Linked DNA regions of Arabidopsis thaliana. The protein of the gene in region 2 interacts with the protein of the main gene of each other region in a biochemical or structural test. Each region holds a gene or a part of one and is shown on either strand. Other genes may lie near its edges. The genes, in order: JAZ5, MYC3, TIFY10B and JAZ11.

Region 1 (4,703 bases), on a different chromosome or scaffold from region 2:
GGCGTTACGGTAACATCTTTGGCGAGAACAAGAAGTGTCGGGATCGGGTTCGTTTTATTAAGGATCGTGCGTTGGATGTTTGGAAGGCGCATGTGCACAAAATGGGAGTGACGACGCGGACAGCTAGGGAGGAGAGATTGATTGCGTGGTCTCCGCCAAGGGTGGGTTGGTTTAAGCTCAATACTGATGGTGCTTCGCGTGGTAACCCGAGACTAGCTACAGCAGGTGGAGTAGTTCGAGACGGGGATGGAAATTGGTGTTATGGGTTTTCGTTGAATATTGGAATTTGTTCGGCTCCGCTTGCGGAACTATGGGGAGCATATTACGGTTTAAATATCGCTTGGGAGCGCGGTGTCACACAGTTGGAGATGGAGATTGATTCGGAGATGGTAGTGGGTTTTCTTCGGACAGGGATTGATGATTCGCATCCGCTGTCCTTCCTGGTGCGGTTGTGCCATGGCTTACTTTCAAAGGACTGGTCAGTCCGGATTTCGCATGTGTATAGAGAAGCTAATCGTCTCGCGGATGGGTTAGCTAACTATGCTTTTTTTTTACCGTTAGGTTTTCATTTGTTTAATTCTACTCCGGATATTGTTATGTCGATTGTTCACGATGATGTAGCGGGGTCTGCGTACCCCCGGAACGTTCAAGTGTAATTTTTTTAGTTTTTTCAGTTTTAATAAAAATGGGGGTTCGCCCCCCTCTTCTACAAAAAAAAATATCACTTTCAAAAGGACCCATTCGCTACCCAATTTTTCTAAACCCCAGAACGTTTTTTTTTTTTCCAAAACACAACAGCCACTTGGTCTTTGCAACAATGCAAGTAGTGTAGTGGCGTAGCTAGGGGTAACGAGTTACCAAACCGGTTTGACAATCTGGTTCGATCAATTGGCCGATCACTCGGTTTGCTCTAATCTTGCTTCATTTAGTCCCATCAACAACACTTATTAAACTAAGTCACATCTAAACTTTTTATATCTTTGGTATCATTTTCCCCGAACACGTTTTTTTGAACGAGTCGTAGTTTTGAAGCAACCAACGAACGTATTGATTATTATGGGCATCCGTGAAAGGGGCAGTTCGGTCAATTGATCCATCAATTTTATTTTTGACCAAACTGATTAGGTGATCTTAAGATTTTTCCTTTTTTCTTTCTATAGGAAAGTGGGAAAAACGCGATTCACACGATACTGTTGCTAGTGCGTCGTACAGATTGCGATACGTGTCACAATCTTGACGGTCTGTTCTATTTAAACCACGTGTTTTAATCAAAAAACTTCTGTCGGATCGTATCGGAGACTTTGAATTTTTATGGCACATGAAACTTCGTAGGGGTTTGATGGTAGGATCCCACATTGGTCCACTTACTATTCAATTCGCACCGCCGTTAAGTTTGTTAACTAACGTGAGGAACGTCGCGGTGATGTAAAAAAAGGCCATGAAAGTTGTTTCTATTACGATGATGCCATCACTGGAGTTGGTAATGTGCTCTTGTGGAAGGGCAAATTTTGTAAATACGATCAAATTTCGAGTCTTTTACGAATTTGTGACATACGCCGTTTAATAACGTTTGCCGTCGGTTCTGAAATCTTTATTCTTTTTCTCTTTTATCGTTACGCGTAAGGAAAACGTGCGGTAAATTCTAACCGAAAATATATATAAAAAAGTAGTCCAATTTTGAAATCTGGCCGTTGATGGTAGACAACTAAACTGTGCCAAACAAGAAACAAGAGGTGAACATATTTTTATGATAAGACAGGGCAATAAATTTGTTGTACCAACTCATAAAACAATAGATAAATTACTTGCACAATGATGGATTATTAACATTAATTTTCTTACTATTAATCATGGATGAAAATTCCTTTCTTCACACTAGATATAGTTCTTTAACTAGTTAAAAATGCATGCGATGGAATATTACTAAATATGATATAATCTCATGGCTTTATGTAAGATTTGTTTTTTGGTTTTTTTGGTTGTTGTTAATAAATTTATTATTGAGAAGTTTAATTCTATTTTGGTCACAATATATTGAAATATTTTTAAGAAACTAAAAAGTTCCTATTTATTTTTGTTTTCATTAATTTATGAGAGGCTATTAAAGTCACAGAAACTTATTGGGTGAATGAGTTTATAAACACATGAGCTATTGAGCTAGTAGCCTCTTGTACTCTTCCATTTTACGCGCAATCCACGCACCAACAAAAAGAAAAGAAAAGAAGAGATAAAGAATATCTTTAAAAAGTAAGTGTGGAGAATTCTTTCTTCTCAATAAACAACAACATGTCGTCGAGCAATGAAAATGCTAAGGCACAAGCGCCGGAGAAATCTGACTTTACCCGGAGATGTAGTTTGCTCAGCCGTTACTTGAAGGAGAAGGGTAGTTTCGGAAACATTGATCTTGGCTTATACCGAAAACCCGATTCCAGTCTCGCGTTGCCCGGAAAATTCGATCCACCAGGTACTTTTATTATCTCTTTCTTCTTTCATGGCCGCCACTTGGTAATAGTACTTTAAAAACTCAGTTCTGTTACTACTTGCTTTTGCCAGATTTACTACTTTTGTATTGTTTCTTCATTTGTAAGTCAGTTCCTTACTTCAGAAATAATTTCTCCTTGTAATTATGAAGACAAGTAACAAAAATAACGAATAAGTTGATATAGAAATTGATTGAGATGTGGTTAATAAAATTCCAAAGATATAAGATGCTATATCATTTTTCTAAAGTTATTATAGTTCACGAAAGTTTTTATTCTCTTTATGCAGGGAAACAAAATGCGATGCATAAGGCAGGGCATTCCAAAGGCGAACCCTCTACCTCATCAGGAGGCAAAGTCAAAGATGTTGCTGACCTCAGGTCTCTCCTTTTGTTCCTTGGGAATACTTGTTGTTTTTGGTTATTGGAGATTAGAGAAAAGGATAATCGGTTAATCCGGTTAAAATTGGTTTTGTTCTGAAATCTGTTTTTGGTTTGCAGTGAATCACAGCCAGGAAGTTCGCAGCTGACCATATTCTTCGGAGGGAAAGTTTTAGTATATAATGAGTTCCCCGTAGACAAAGCTAAAGAGATTATGGAAGTAGCAAAACAAGCCAAGCCTGTGACTGAGATTAACATTCAGACACCAATCAATGACGAAAACAACAACAACAAGAGCAGCATGGTTCTTCCTGATCTCAATGAGCCTACTGATAATAATCACCTAACAAAGGAACAACAACAGCAACAAGAACAAAATCAGATCGTGGAACGTATAGCACGTAGAGCTTCCCTCCATCGATTCTTTGCTAAACGGAAAGACAGGTATTTAACCTTATCATACTTTTTGAAACTTGTTTTAATGTTCCAAATTTCCAATCACTCTAGTTAGTTCAAAACTCAAAAGTTTAAGGATCCTCCCTCTGATATAAGTTCTCCTAAATTATCCTCAACAAGCCTCGTAATTTACGTTATTAATTTTTCTGTTGCAGAGCTGTGGCTAGGGCTCCGTACCAAGTTAACCAAAACGCAGGTCATCATCGTTATCCTCCCAAGCCAGAGATTGTAACCGGTCAACCACTAGAGGCAGGACAGTCGTCACAAAGACCGCCGGATAACGCCATTGGTCAAACCATGGCCCATATCAAATCAGACGGTGATAAAGATGATATTATGAAGATTGAAGAAGGCCAAAGTTCGAAAGATCTCGATCTAAGGCTATAGTAATATTTGCTAAATTTCTTGTAGGAACTGAGTTTTTAGATTAACGTTTCGATTTTTCTGACTTATCTAAGTGATTTTATTTTGCTTTGTACTACAGTATGTAATCTTATTCTAACTTGAATATTCATTCATAAACACAATAGACGATAGTAAAGTTATATTATAATTAGTTAACTACGTACAACACTTGGGAGTTAAATTACATAACGTTAAGCGAGAAATAGCAAATTAGACAAGAGGAAGAATATTTAGGAGTTGTGAATTGATCTGACTGCAATAACATGAAGAGGAATCTGACTGCAATCGTAATGCGGGTAAAGATGGTTGAAAGTGATCAGAGCTCCTTTCTAATTTATTTAGGGTGTAATTTATGAAAATGATTATTATTGGAGTGTATATCAAGTTTTCACTAAACTCAGGGGTGTTTATTGTAATTAGTTGTCAGGTTCAAGTTCATTGAAGGCGTGTCTGATTTGGACAGTGATTGGGCCTGAGCCATAAGTTTAACGTGGGACGAGTTCATTGGCTGTTGCTTTTTAAATTTTCTTACAGCCTGTGACTTTAGCTAATCGATGTGTAAAAATAATAAATCCAATAAAATTCGTAAGAGCCACTCGATTGCTTCCTTCGCTTTCTATCAAGAGACTTCCTTTTTTTTTTCCTGTTCTTCATTTTTTTTTTGTTATTAATATTTTGTCATTTTTCTTACATTTTTCTCGAACACCGAAAACACTTTCGAACCCTAAAAGACAGAACACTGTGTCAATTTTCATTACCTGGGAACGAAAAGCAAAATCAAAGACAATAATTTTTTCCCCGAGAGAGAAAATGCAGAGGTTGAAGCAGCAGCAGCAGCAGCAACAAGTTATGATGCAGCAAGCTCTTATGCAGCAACAGTCTCTCTACCATCCTGGTCTCCTTGCCCCGCCACAGGTTTGCTCTATTCTTCTTCCATTTCCATGCTCGATTTGGGTTTCTAGGCTCTTTTTCCCAAGCTCGA
Region 2 (4,881 bases):
AAATAATTGTTAAATCCAAAAAATCGACTTGTTATGGAAGTACATTAAGGTATTAAATTAGGTTATCTTCACTAATTCCTCTCGAACCTTTTACTTTCTTTCTTTTTTGATAAAGTAAAACTTTTTACTTGATACAATGTTTCTGTGACATGTAACATGTTTATCAATGTCTTGTAAGAAAACTGGCAAGAAGTAGAGATATTTTATTATGTAATGTCAATAATCATATGTTAGTGTACGATTAGTGGGTCTAAAGTCGTTTTGTAATTACATCATCCACGAGAATCACGTGAGCTGGATCATTTTAGCCATCGTGATTAACCATTGAATATTATTGTACATGTTGTCCTTTTCACTGACTACTTTTCTTCTTCTTTCTTTTTTTTTCTGGATATTTTGTTTATAAGTAATGGTTGGCATTATCATGTGTAGTTCTTTGTCAATAATCATGTGTAACTTTGACAAAAAAATCATATGTAACGTTTTAAAAAATTATATACTTTGGTTGGTCATTATAGTTTTAGCCAAACGATAAAAAATTTGATGAAAAAAATGTGGTTAAAGAAAACTTACAGTATACCGTGACAAAAATATGAAGATTGTTAATAAATAGATATGTCAATTATGGTGACAGAAACATGGAAAGCAGACAGACGATGCCTAGACAGAGGACCCAAACAATTAAAGTGGGCTACACAACATAATTCCAATATTTAAAAAAAGAAAAAAACAATTTAAAATGTCTAAGAAAAAATAAATTCGAATATGAATTTTATAGAGAAAATACAAATTTTATACGTTAATTTCTTCCTCTTTCAAAAATTGAACGGAAGTTGCTATGTTGTTGGATACATTATTATTTGAATATATATTACAAATAATTTTTAGGACTAGCAAATCATTTTTTGAGTTTTCTTTTTATGGTTTTCGTAGTCAACTCCACAACCGATAGTTTTACATCGATGCTTGTACAATTTTACAGTTTGACAGATGGTACTGTACTACGACATACGGTTCTATGCACCACACTAAAATCTCTAGATAGAAATCGTTTCCATTAATCTTCAATAATTTGTAATCTATGAAAATCAAACTTCATATATGGTGTGATGAAGTATTAATGGATATTTAGTTAACCATTACACCAAAAAAAAATTTACACCGGATAATTATTTGAAAACGTAAATTTCATATTAACGGTTCAAACTGATTTTTAATAAAATGAACATAATGAAATGATATTTAAAAAAAAAAGATGATTGGAGAAAGAAAACACTTTTAGTTTTTTCATATATATTTATTTTCCTATAACTAACATAAAATCAGTTGAAATATTATTTTAAATTCCTAACTTAATTGATATAAATTGAGTAGAATCTATTTTTTTCCTTTTAAAAATGCAATTCTTTTTTGCAGTTTAAAATATTAATTTATATGAAAAATAAAATTTATATTTTAGATTTCTAACTTATGAAATTTTGAATTATAGCATTGGTCCATATTCGAAACTCTAAGTCACTATATCACCATAAATGGATTATTTATTAGTTTTTTCTCCATAAAACAATAAGTGGCTATGTGATAATAAACGGATCTAAGTTATGTTTCAGACAAAACAGTGTCCAAACGAGAATTATCACTCCATGAATAATTTATTTACGTTTTCGTAACAGTTAACCAAATTATTATCGTTTGGTTTTTGTCATATAATATGTCGCAACTCTCAACAAAAACTTAAGAAAATAAGAAAAAATTATTTACAATTGTTTTAGAAAAACAATAAAAATAAAATATAGTATTGTAGAGAGAATCATCTTCTCCAAACAATCACTAAACGCCATTTGCTTAGCTTTTTCCCTCTTTTGATTTTTCCTCCCTACACGTCACCTCTCTCTTCTTCTCACCGGAAAAAAGTCTTCACCTTTCACCGGAAAATATCACCTTTTCAACCGGCGTATGTTCACATGAACGGCACAACATCATCAATCAACTTCTTGACCTCCGACGATGACGCGTCGGCGGCGGCTATGGAAGCTTTCATTGGAACAAACCACCACTCATCTCTCTTTCCTCCACCACCACAACAACCACCTCAGCCTCAGTTCAACGAAGATACTCTTCAACAACGTCTCCAAGCTTTAATAGAATCCGCCGGAGAAAACTGGACTTACGCTATCTTCTGGCAGATCTCACACGACTTCGATTCATCCACCGGAGATAACACAGTGATCCTCGGCTGGGGAGATGGTTACTACAAAGGAGAGGAAGATAAAGAGAAGAAGAAGAACAACACCAACACGGCGGAGCAAGAGCATCGGAAAAGAGTAATACGTGAGCTTAACTCGTTAATCTCCGGCGGAATTGGGGTTTCCGATGAATCAAACGATGAAGAAGTAACAGATACTGAATGGTTCTTCTTAGTTTCGATGACTCAAAGCTTCGTTAACGGTGTTGGTCTCCCCGGAGAATCTTTCTTAAACTCTCGTGTGATTTGGTTATCCGGGTCTGGTGCTTTAACCGGGTCGGGTTGTGAAAGAGCGGGTCAAGGTCAGATTTACGGGTTAAAGACGATGGTGTGTATCGCGACTCAAAACGGCGTCGTTGAGCTTGGTTCGTCGGAGGTTATAAGTCAAAGCTCAGATCTGATGCATAAAGTTAACAACTTGTTTAATTTCAACAACGGTGGTGGAAACAATGGTGTTGAAGCTTCTTCGTGGGGTTTTAATCTGAATCCAGATCAAGGAGAGAATGATCCAGCTTTGTGGATTAGTGAACCGACGAACACCGGAATCGAATCTCCGGCGAGGGTTAATAATGGTAATAACTCGAATTCTAATTCTAAGTCTGATTCTCATCAAATTTCTAAGCTTGAGAAGAATGATATTAGCTCTGTAGAGAATCAGAATCGTCAAAGTTCGTGTCTTGTCGAGAAAGATTTGACCTTTCAAGGTGGGTTGTTGAAATCTAATGAGACTTTGAGTTTCTGTGGTAATGAGAGTAGTAAGAAGAGAACTTCGGTATCTAAAGGGAGTAATAATGATGAAGGGATGCTTTCGTTTAGTACTGTGGTTAGATCAGCTGCGAATGATTCGGATCATTCTGATCTTGAAGCATCTGTTGTTAAGGAAGCGATTGTTGTTGAGCCACCGGAGAAGAAGCCGAGGAAACGGGGGAGGAAACCGGCGAATGGGAGAGAAGAGCCGTTGAATCATGTTGAAGCAGAGAGGCAGAGAAGAGAGAAGTTAAACCAGAGATTCTACTCTTTGAGAGCTGTTGTTCCTAACGTTTCGAAGATGGATAAAGCTTCGCTTCTCGGAGACGCGATTTCGTATATCAATGAGCTTAAGTCGAAGCTGCAGCAAGCGGAGTCTGATAAAGAGGAGATTCAGAAGAAGCTAGATGGGATGAGTAAGGAAGGGAATAATGGGAAAGGTTGCGGGTCAAGGGCAAAAGAACGGAAAAGTTCGAATCAAGATTCTACGGCGAGTTCTATAGAAATGGAGATTGATGTTAAGATCATAGGTTGGGATGTGATGATACGTGTACAATGCGGCAAGAAAGATCATCCCGGTGCTAGGTTCATGGAAGCACTTAAGGAATTGGATTTGGAAGTGAATCATGCGAGTTTATCCGTTGTGAATGATTTGATGATTCAACAAGCTACGGTGAAGATGGGGAGCCAATTTTTCAATCATGACCAGCTCAAAGTTGCTTTGATGACGAAAGTCGGAGAAAACTATTGAACAAAGTTGGCATATCAAAGAGGGGAAACTAGTGTTTTCATCGATGAAATGGGATCGAATTTAGCGGGTAATGTATGGTCTTTTGTAAAGTAGTAAGTACTCATTTTGCATCACTCGCTTCATGTTGTTAAATGTTGTTGTTCATTAGGAGAACTTGCTTAGTTCTTAGCTTAGTGTTATCATAAGCCTTAAGTGAGAAGGAAGTTGGAGACTAGAAGACCAGAGAGAGTTAGCGAAATAATAAAATCTTTGGTTGTACTTGTATGTATATATATGTATGGAGTAAGATTAAGTGAGATCCTAAATTCTATTGAAGTTTTTTTATTCTATGATTGAATTTTTTTGTTAGTTTGTAACTTTGTAGTGTACATAAAGGTCCAAATTTATGAACTGTAGTGTACCAAAAAGCTGAGGAAAATAAGTGGTTGTAAATGGGTTTTGCCTAGAGATAGTGCTCTTATCTTTGTAAGGGGGTATGAGGAAACTGTTTATAATGCCAAAAATGTGGAGACATGTGTGATTTGTTTGTAAAAGAAACTAAAAGTTAAACCAAAGATTTGTTAGTTTTAAGTAATGAGTAGGAAGTCTTTTAGTGCCTATCTTATCTTATCTTATGTGTGAGTTTGAGTATATCTCTATGTTTAGAGAGCCGTGTGATCTACCTATGTTTCTTAATTCTTATAGTCTTGTGTACATTAGTAACGACTAGTCTTTAAGTAGTTTAGTAACATATATACCGCAAAAATCAAGATTTTCCGAATATTCTTTTTGGAACTGAGTTTGTAGTATCACAATTTGAATTTAAATCCGAAAATTTGCTAGTAGGTTTAGTCTCAAATTTTTGTTTAAACCAAAATGTGAAGGCATTTGATTTTCTGCAAACATGAAGAACATTTACTGCATAATCAACAATGAAAGTTGCCAATAAGCTACTTTTCTCCACCATTGATGAGTTCTAATTAAAAACCACCAACTTAAGTTTTCATAATAAATTGAAAAATACTTTTCATGTAGTACCATAAAGTTGACCCCTCCTCTTTAAAGGATGTTAGAAAATTATAGCCATCTTTCATCTATCTTAGGTATATGTATATTAAATAGTTGTTCACTCATTCGTTCACACTATAATTTTGTAATG
Region 3 (4,168 bases), on a different chromosome or scaffold from region 2:
TAATCATAACGAATTTCGGACCAGTCTTTGGACCAAATTTACGTTTTGTTAGTTGGATGATCATTGTTCAAGACCGAACAAATCATTGTTCAAGACCGAACGAAAAAAAGTTATCGTGGGTCAGAATTCCCGTGGCCTACCAAGCCTGGTCTGATCTACTCCACTTATTGGATATTTATGAAGCTCTTTTTATTATGGACTTCGGATATTTTACAAAGTTATAACTAGTATTTTGGGAAAAACAAAATTGTAACTGGCTTGGTATTTTAACCAAAAATAGTCTACATAGTTTGTGCCATGTATTTAACAACAAAACGAAAATGCTAATACTATAATGGATAGATAGGTTAAAACGTATTTTGAACAATAGCAGACTTGTTAAAGAAAATCTTTCACACGACAATACTTGATAGAAAATCATCATTTTTTAGACATTTCTTTATTTTCGAGAATGCTTTAAGTATTTCTGTTCCTTAACTGTAAGCTTCAGCTCTCAATAAGTGACGAACAAACAATCGGATTAAATAAACTTGGATTATATTAATGGCCATCAACACAAAAACACAAGTGATGTTTCTTACAAAAGTTGCAAGCTAATGTTGAGATCGGCAGAGGAAAGGGTTATACACACTGGCTAAAACTTAAACCCCAGAAGCAAACATTGAACACTATTGATATTGATTTCATACAAATATAATGAGTTTTCGGGGGAGTTAAACAAACAAAACTACTAGGGGTGAAATTAATCTATAGAAAAAATGAACAGAGGAGCAGCTTGATATTTGTAACGATGGAGCATCAGAAGAATCTTACAAGAAGGTCTCTCAAGTTGTGCCTTCTGGGTCGGACAGGCTCGAAGTTTACCGTGAACTGAGCCAAGCTGGGTTAGTAGGCTTGGAAGACGCTTCAGCTGAACCGTCTATTTGGTATGGTGCCTTTGATGTGATCCTGTTAAAGGTTTACGAGTAGGATATTGAGAAATTCGCTTAACAAGAACTTATGGAATAACAAGATATTATGTTTTCATTAAAATGCATTACCTATCCTTCCTCTTCTCAAGGAACCGATGAAGTGAAGCTCTTCTTGCAATCGGGAGTTCTACAAATCAAAAAGAGAGAAAGTTAGAGAAATAGGACTAAGCCAAGCTCAGAGATGGTTGAACCAAAAGAGGCTGAGATCAATTACCGCAGGCTAAAGAGGCCGGGTTAGGCTGAATTGGCTCTTGTGCTGCGGTTTTTGCAGGACTACAAACAGGATTTGGGCTAGAAGCAATCTCTTTTTGAGAATAAGCACTATGGTTATTGTTTACTTCAGCTGTGAAACATGTGAAGCTTTTGGCACTTCCTTTGTTAGCCAAATCAATGACTTCTTTAGCTTTCTCAGCAGAAAAATCATCAAACACCATAACTCGACCACCGTAGAATATAGTCAACGGAGCAGATTGAGACTCTGGCTTCACAGATCTGTTCAAAATCACACAAAAATTAGTTAAACTGATGAAACATAGCTTACTATATGAGACGATTCTTTTCACTATATACATATAAACACATACTTAGTAGTCTCTTTGATCATCTGTACATCTTCTTTGGTCCCAGAGGAAGAGGAAGAAGAAAAGCTTGATTGTCTCGGAAACATAGTCTTCGGTTTAATGTCTTCTTGACCAGCAGAAGAATCCATTCCTGAAGCTTCACAAGGGAACAGATTCATCATTGTAGGCTGACGTGAACCTCCTGCGAAAATTGATCCAAAAGTAAAGATTATTATCATTCACCAATCTCTCAAACAACTGCAAAACAAAATCTACTTAATGACTAAACCAGGCCTATGGCTTTAGAGGATTATGCTTAAACCAAACACAGAACCATCTCCACAAATTCATACACATACATACATATATAGAAATTGATTCAAAATCCATTAATCATCGATTCTCTACAACGATTCAATTTCCAGACAACATGTAATCGATTCATAATTCGTAATTCGCAACAGGAAACTCAAAATTCGCAGAAACGAAATGAACAGATCTAAAAGAGAAAGGTTGATTACCATTAACGTCGGGCTTGCATGTCATCCCTAAGCTCAGATCTCCAAAACTACCCTTCTCCTTCAGGTAACGACTCAATCGAGTACATGTTTGTGAAAAGCTCGGTTTACGACCAGAGAAGTCCCAACACTCGGCAGAAAAACTCGACATCGTTGAAACCGAAATTGAAATCGTTTCGATTGAGAAATTGGAGCAAAAGGATCTTCCTTCCTGAGTTGTTGAATTTTCTCGAATCTTATAAAAAAACTTAGGGTTCTTGTTTATCTTTCTCTGCCAAGTGCGTTTTGTCACGAGGAAGAAATGGAGGACCTCTTTATTACTTTTTTTTCGCTGGTTGCAGATACGGAAATTAGTAAAATATACTCTTATAGTATTAATTAACATAGAGACATTTAAAACACGTGTTTTAATTTAATGTTTTAACGGCAGACCACTGTTTCAGATCACCACCGTCACCCACGTCCCCACGCTTCACACTTGAAATAACCATTTCACCCTCTTACTACTCCTGTTTTTACCATTTTACCCTTACAAGATGTTCAAATAAAATAAAAAATTATGAAAACGTAAAATCCTAAAATTAATTAGTTCAAACAAATCAATGTTCAGATGAAATTTGATTATGATAGTCTTTCAGTTATACCATTTAGTTGGTTCATATATCCTTTTTTTTAAGATGAATCTCTTGGCATTAATTTATGTATTTTTAGCACTATTAATTAGTCTACTATTTTAATCTCATAGACCGGCGTGATATTTTAGCACTCAAAGAGAATTAACGGTATGATTTGGGGGAAAAAAGAGGATTAACGGCGTTAGATAGAGGGAACACGGTGTGGGTCTTACATAACCAAAACTCCACCACCAATGCAAATTTGATCCATAAATCACGTTTTGTATTTTCCCTTTTATTAATTTTTTTTTAGTGTTTTATTTATGACAACAGTAATAAATAATTACAAAAAGCGGGAAGAGCACGTCTCCTCCATGAATCGCGACCTTACACGTGTCTAACTTAACTGCCCACATTTGAGAGAATTTTTCTTGTTGGTGTCGTAGTCAGAGTAATCACCTGTTACGCGGCTTATATAGCAGCTGTGTTCTCCTACGCACAATAGCCGTTGATCCTATCACTCTGTCTTTTATTCTCTTGTTATTATCCCATGCGTTTGTTAGGAACACACAAATAAGTTTGATTTTCTTTTATAACGTAACGTCCAACTTGTTATTTTATTGACTTGGATTGTAGTAATTGCTAACTCATTACAGGTACATCGAGATAACGTAAGGTTCATAGAGTGGCTCGTGAGAAAATAAGGATGATTGGTTAATTTGGTTTTTAACTGTTTTATAAACATCTTCACAAAATTTTATACATCACAAACATATCCATAAGAAACAAAATCAGAAGAAGCTGCAGGTACATACAATTACAAGGAAGAGGGGTCACAAGAAGAACCCAGAGCGCATAAAGACATCAAAGTCTGGATATTATTTAGAGTATGCAACCAAAAAGAAGAAGGCAAGTGGGGTGGTCACAAAAATGCAAGATAGAGGTCACAAGAAGAATAGAAGAACATAAGCTAATTAAGGAATAGTACTCTATATTCCTGTTTTTACTGTAGAAACTTTATCTACTTATGGCTCTCTTATACAAGGCTGATTGATACCCTTTTAGCCATGTTTTTATACTTGCTCTTGGTTTTCACAGCTGATTCATTCCTCTTCTTTCTTTCACATATTTAACAGAAAATAAGCTTACATATGAAAGTGGTAAAACATTGGGCCCTTGGAATATATTTTTTTAGTTTTTACCTTTCAAAAGATGATTTAGTTACTCTCTATATATGTAATTAACAAAGGGAAAACTGTCAAGAGCTACTAAATTTAAAATTGAGAATTGATTTGGCATTTTTTGAGATTTCATGTTAAACAATAGAAATGTAAAGACTACAAAGATTTCCAATAAGAAGGTATCACAAGAAACAGAATTTTAATGGCGAATCCAAACTCTGATATCTCTAGCACGTTTTAGCTCCTGTCCAAGTCTTTGGCTCATCAGATCTTGATCCTAAGAAACTTAGCTTAGCTCTTGGTAGTTGAACAAACTCTGTTGAT
Region 4 (4,865 bases), on a different chromosome or scaffold from region 2:
TGGCATTCCGACGTTTATGTGTTTTAATATAGTTGGGTTTTATATCTAACATCTCTGTCGTTTTTAGCAGTGATGGCTGGCTCTTGCCTGACAGCGTTCGAATTCCATGACCATCGTTGGCCGGATCTACTTTTCTTATCAGTGTATCTGATGTTTTTTTTTTTTTTTTTCTTTCAATAATCTCATAGATCCTCTATTGGAAATTTAGGTGTTTTTTTGCTTAAAGGTGTTTATTATCCAATTTGATCTTTTGAGTTTGCGATTTGCAGGAATCAATCCAAAGAGTTACATCTTAAGTTGCAGAAAAGAAAACAATTTCATTGCACACTAATATTGCTTTTAGCTGTAAATCTCTATTTTGATGTTCGATTGGTTTATGAACAATGAAACCTAGAAGAATCAAGCTTGCTTTTATAATCAATGATGATTTTTCTCACTGGAATCGATCTCAGATGGCGAATGATCTACAATTGAGGCTATTTGTCTAATTGATCTATGGACACGAGTGTTTTCCTTTTTGTTTTTAGGTGTTGCTGAAAAGCTCCATCGGCTTAATATCTACGTTGATGTTCTTTGGAGTTCGGGAGTCATTGCCCTTGTGAAGATCTTTTCTTTACAGATTTGATGATGTAGTTGGTAGGATTCTCTAGTTAAAAACCTGTGGACTTATTTCTTGAAGCTCTGACGGTTTTCGGTAGTTTTGGAGTTCCCTTACGCTTCGTACCATATCGGCTATGAGCGGCGAACGGCGACAACATCTACTTCAACTTTACTTCATAGGCTCACACATGGTTTTGTGTTGGATTTGTTATATTTCTTAGTTCCTTAAAGGGGTATCTTTATGGATTGGACTTTTTAAGTTGGGTCTCCGCTTATAAGCTGAATTGTTGGTGAAGTGGAAGCTTCCACTGTTGTACCTTTTACGACATAGAGTTTTAAATAGAAGAGAAAATTCCCAAAAAAAACTTCAACTATTAAAATTTGCCAAAAAAACCTCAACTTTTTCGGTTGTCAAAAAACTCAAACTAATTTATTAGTGACAAATAAAACCCAAACTAGAAATATTGGCAGATTATACATACGCTCTAAAAACAAATTATAGTTTTATCCTTAAAAAATTAATTCTTTTTTTTTTGAAACGAAAAGAAATTTCTTATTTACTTTGTATTTTTTTAGTTTATACGTTTTTGCCTTTTTGGAAATTATCATAGAAAAATGATATGAGTGTCTCATTTTTAATTCTCTTTTCATATATTTTTACTTTTTAGATTTTCAAACTTTAAAAACCAAATCGTTTCTCTATTTCTTTTTTTTTTGCTTATTTCTTTCTAATTTTTGGTTCCTCAATATCAAAATGATTCAATGTTCTTCGACTAATTTACATATTTTGATTTTTTCATCATAATTATATAGTTAGCTTTGTGTTAATATATCTTATTTAATTTATTTTAGCAATACGATAACGGCGGTATGCATGTACTAAAAAGGATGCGTAAAGAGTATTAAGTTTTTCACATCGAACAAAATTGTCCACTATTTTATTTTTTTAAATAGTTGTCTATATTACAAGAACAAATGAAAATAAATAGGTATTATTAGATAAGTAGTTTTTTTTTTTGGTAAGGCATTATTACTTATTAGATAAGTAGTTAGATATATAAAATAATCAAATAGTTGAGGTTTTTTTGGAATATTTCTGAGAAAAACAAAAAGAAAACAAAATTGATTGAATAATGAATACACCGAATAACGAACGTTGCGTAGAGAAGAGAACCAATTCCCAATCAAACGGAGAAGACAGATATTATTCACAGAGAGGCTCATGGCTGAGGTAAACGGAGATTTCCCCGTTCCTAGTTTCGCCGACGGGACCGGTTCTGTTTCCGCCGGACTTGACTTGCTCGTTGAGAGATCGATTCACGAAGCTAGGTATGTATCACTAGTAACTGGAATCAATTTGAATCGTTAATTCTCATTTCTCTTTATCTGTCTTTGTGTTTGAAGTTTTTTCTTAGCCTATAGTTCTGTGATTTGTTAGTTCTTAGTACACTATAGGAGCGTGAGCAATTGACGAGACTTGGATCTATATGAATTGTTAAATTAGCAGATCAATTTGGGAAACTCAAGAGGTTTAATTTCAAACTCTTGTTTCAAGGTCCACAGAGCCAGATGCTTCAACTCAACTTACTATTATCTTTGGTGGGAGTTGTAGAGTCTTCAATGGTGTCCCTGCACAAAAGGTTTGGTCCATCTAGCTTTGAGTACATACATTCTGATTTTGTTTATGTTGGTTGCATCAGAGTTTCTAATTGTATTGGTGATCAATGCTTAATAGGTTCAAGAAATCATTCGCATCGCTTTTGCTGGTAAACAGACGAAGAATGTGACCGGTATCAATCCAGCACTGAACAGAGCTCTTTCTTTCTCAACTGTAGCTGGTAAGCAATTGCTTCATTCGGTTACTGTAAGCATTATCTACGGAGTTACGGACTATTAATCCCTGTTTGTCTCAGATCTTCCAATTGCTAGGAGACGTTCGCTTCAAAGATTTCTCGAGAAGAGACGGGACAGGTAGTTAGATATTCAGTGTTTGCTTTATTAACATATTGATAGTTCTGGAAGTGTTAGTGTGTATGAATCTGATTTGTTAGTATGTATTAGTTTGTGACGTCAAATATTGTTCTTGCATTTAGGAATTTTCATGTGTAGGTAGGTTGTTGAAGCTTAAGCAAATGAAGAGACTGGATCTATGTGAATGTTAATTTGTATACATTGACTGGTTTCGGAAACTGAGATAGTCTTTTAGTTTTTTTTCTTACAAGTGTTTAAGCTTTTATTCTCATGTATTATTCTACTTCTATATCATATTTGGCTGACTTATGGCCACCAGATAATTGTGTATTTCTTAGTGATCATGCCTCACAAATACATTAGATGTTGTTGCCCATTCTTTAGTATCGGTTTTATGAGCTTGAATTTGAACTAGGCTTGTGTGTTTGATTTTGGTACCGTTGAATGCAAAAATAGCCTTCTATCTACTGTTAGATGACATCATCAGATGATTTAAATTTAGTAGGTTGTTTGAACTGATGTATTGATGGGACTGAGGTTAGTTGATAGCCTAAGCGGCTGTAATATTGTAGTGGAATCACTATTTTGTTCTTCTCCCTTTTGCATCAATAGGGTCTTAAAATTTGGGTGGATTATTATTATCTTCCATCATTCATAACTAGCTCTTGTTTCTTCTATTGAAGGTCCACGAAGCCAGATGGTTCAATGATCCTTCCAAGTCAACTAACCATTATTTTTGGTGGGAGTTTTAGCGTATTTGATGGTATTCCAGCTGAAAAGGTTTGGTCCATCCAAGTTTTGAGTACATTCGTATTTCGTTTTTGTTGGGAAGCAGTTGCATGAGATTTCTTGTTCTCTTGGTGATCACACTTAATAGGTTCAAGAAATTCTGCATATCGCTGCTGCAGCTAAAGCCACTGAGACAATTAATTTGACCAGTATAAATCCAGCATTAAAGAGAGCTATTTCATTCTCAAACGCATCAACAGTAGCTTGCGTATCGACAGCAGGTAAGGACTTGCTACATTGGATTACCGTAAACGTTATATAGTCCGAGTATGGAAAACCCCATGAGCTTTATGTAAGATGCATGTTTATCTCAGATGTGCCAATTGCTAGGAGACGTTCACTTCAAAGATTTTTTGAGAAAAGACGGCATCGGTAGGCATATCTGCAGTGCTTGTTTTATAAACATATACTCTCATCTTTCTCCATCACTCACCTATGAGTTTGACCATTAGATTTCATCTAATAGTAACTTGGACCCTCTTTATTTTCAGATTTGTCCACACGAAGCCTTACTCTGCTACGACTTCGGAAGCAGACAAAAATGAAACCAGCCCCATTGTGACATGAGCTCCAAGACTGTAAGCTAACCTCAAACCTTACTTTCGAAGCAACTCAGTATCACAGTTATCTTTGACAAGATTAACACAGCTCATATATAAGCCTTCCGTTGTTGTACGATAATCATCTGCCTATGTTTCTTAGACAAAACACAAAATTGTTTTCCATGTTTGTGATTTGATGTGTTTATCATCTCGCACCTCCTCTTTGAGGAAGATGATTTCTTTTTCTTCACAATGTATGTTGATGCTGTATGATAAGGTCTCAGAGCTATATAAGAACACAAGAGTACTCAAAAATGACCATGAAAGACTTAGTGTCCTTATAAGCAAATCACGACCAAGAAACATACAGAGAAATCATCAAATACTAACCGGAGAGATTAGTAGGGACCTCAGATCAAAATTTTCAGGTCTGGTTAGGCATGTGATTATTACCAGAACCAAAATTTTCAAACCAAGCCAATCCAGTTTTTGGTCATTTCAATTTAGGGTCGGTCACTAAAAGTGAACAGGTCGGCATAATTTTTTAGTACATATATTTAACATGTGCCCAAGTTATGACAAACGATGAAACATAACATATTTATTATAAATGATTTATACATCATAACTCATAAAAACATCAAAATTATGAAATATTTTGGTAGCGCTACCATAACCACTCAATCATCCGACTGAAATCATCAAAATAAAAAAATATTTTCTAACTTTTTTTATATTTACATAAATATATCTACAAAATGATCCCGTATAAACTTGTAATAAATTATATATGTGCATTTTTCAAGACCAAATCTCTAAGATCAAAGACTAATGCTACCACATCATTCAACGAAACAATGCAAATAAATTTTGGGATAACTTTAACTTTGATCATCTTTTAAAGTATTTAAGGATTTTACATACAAATTTGTAATTTAAAGGGTTCACAAACGGCAACAAAAA

Evidence for each region.
Region 1: the proteins of MYC3 (region 2) and JAZ5 form a complex in vitro, tested with the Arabidopsis thaliana proteins (one study listed by BioGRID).
Region 3: the proteins of MYC3 (region 2) and TIFY10B form a complex in vitro, tested with the Arabidopsis thaliana proteins (one study listed by BioGRID).
Region 4: the proteins of MYC3 (region 2) and JAZ11 form a complex in vitro, tested with the Arabidopsis thaliana proteins (one study listed by BioGRID).

What each region holds. Positions count from the first base shown.
Region 1 is NC_003070.9:5,954,654-5,959,356, reverse strand, and holds JAZ5 (jasmonate-zim-domain protein 5), read left to right. Parts: upstream 1-1,845; 5' UTR 1,846-2,286; coding exon 2,287-2,464; exon of another isoform or gene 2,465-2,678; coding exon of another isoform or gene 2,679-2,769; coding exon 2,770-2,860; intron 2,861-2,980; coding exon 2,981-3,304; coding exon of another isoform or gene 3,305-3,371; exon of another isoform or gene 3,372-3,471; coding exon 3,472-3,703; 3' UTR 3,704-4,202; downstream 4,203-4,703. Other genes in the region: UBP1B (oligouridylate binding protein 1B), read left to right, coding at 4,532-4,636. UniProt on the Arabidopsis thaliana protein: Repressor of jasmonate responses.
Region 2 is NC_003076.8:18,972,267-18,977,147, forward strand, and holds MYC3 (Basic helix-loop-helix (bHLH) DNA-binding family protein), read left to right. Parts: upstream 1-1,755; 5' UTR 1,756-1,964; coding exon 1,965-3,743; 3' UTR 3,744-4,324; downstream 4,325-4,881. UniProt on the Arabidopsis thaliana protein: Transcription factor involved in tryptophan, jasmonic acid (JA) and other stress-responsive gene regulation. With MYC2 and MYC4, controls additively subsets of JA-dependent responses.
Region 3 is NC_003070.9:28,148,059-28,152,226, forward strand, and holds TIFY10B (TIFY domain/Divergent CCT motif family protein), read right to left. Parts: upstream 2,389-4,168; 5' UTR 2,201-2,388; coding exon 2,053-2,200; intron 1,734-2,052; coding exon 1,556-1,733; intron 1,464-1,555; coding exon 1,186-1,463; intron 1,099-1,185; coding exon 1,041-1,098; coding exon of another isoform or gene 1,037-1,040; exon of another isoform or gene 949-1,036; coding exon 861-948; 3' UTR 517-860; downstream 1-516. UniProt on the Arabidopsis thaliana protein: Repressor of jasmonate responses. Jasmonoyl-isoleucine (JA-Ile) specifically promotes COI1-TIFY10B/JAZ2 interaction. Activated by MYC2, MYC3 and MYC4 transcription factors.
Region 4 is NC_003074.8:15,365,848-15,370,712, forward strand, and holds JAZ11 (jasmonate-zim-domain protein 11), read left to right. Parts: upstream 1-1,698; 5' UTR 1,699-1,822; coding exon 1,823-1,929; intron 1,930-2,155; coding exon 2,156-2,240; intron 2,241-2,335; coding exon 2,336-2,438; intron 2,439-2,513; coding exon 2,514-2,571; intron 2,572-3,254; coding exon 3,255-3,351; intron 3,352-3,448; coding exon 3,449-3,581; intron 3,582-3,674; coding exon 3,675-3,732; intron 3,733-3,851; coding exon 3,852-3,927; 3' UTR 3,928-4,310; downstream 4,311-4,865. UniProt on the Arabidopsis thaliana protein: Repressor of jasmonate (JA) responses. Targets MYC2, MYC3 and MYC4 that are JA-dependent transcription activators.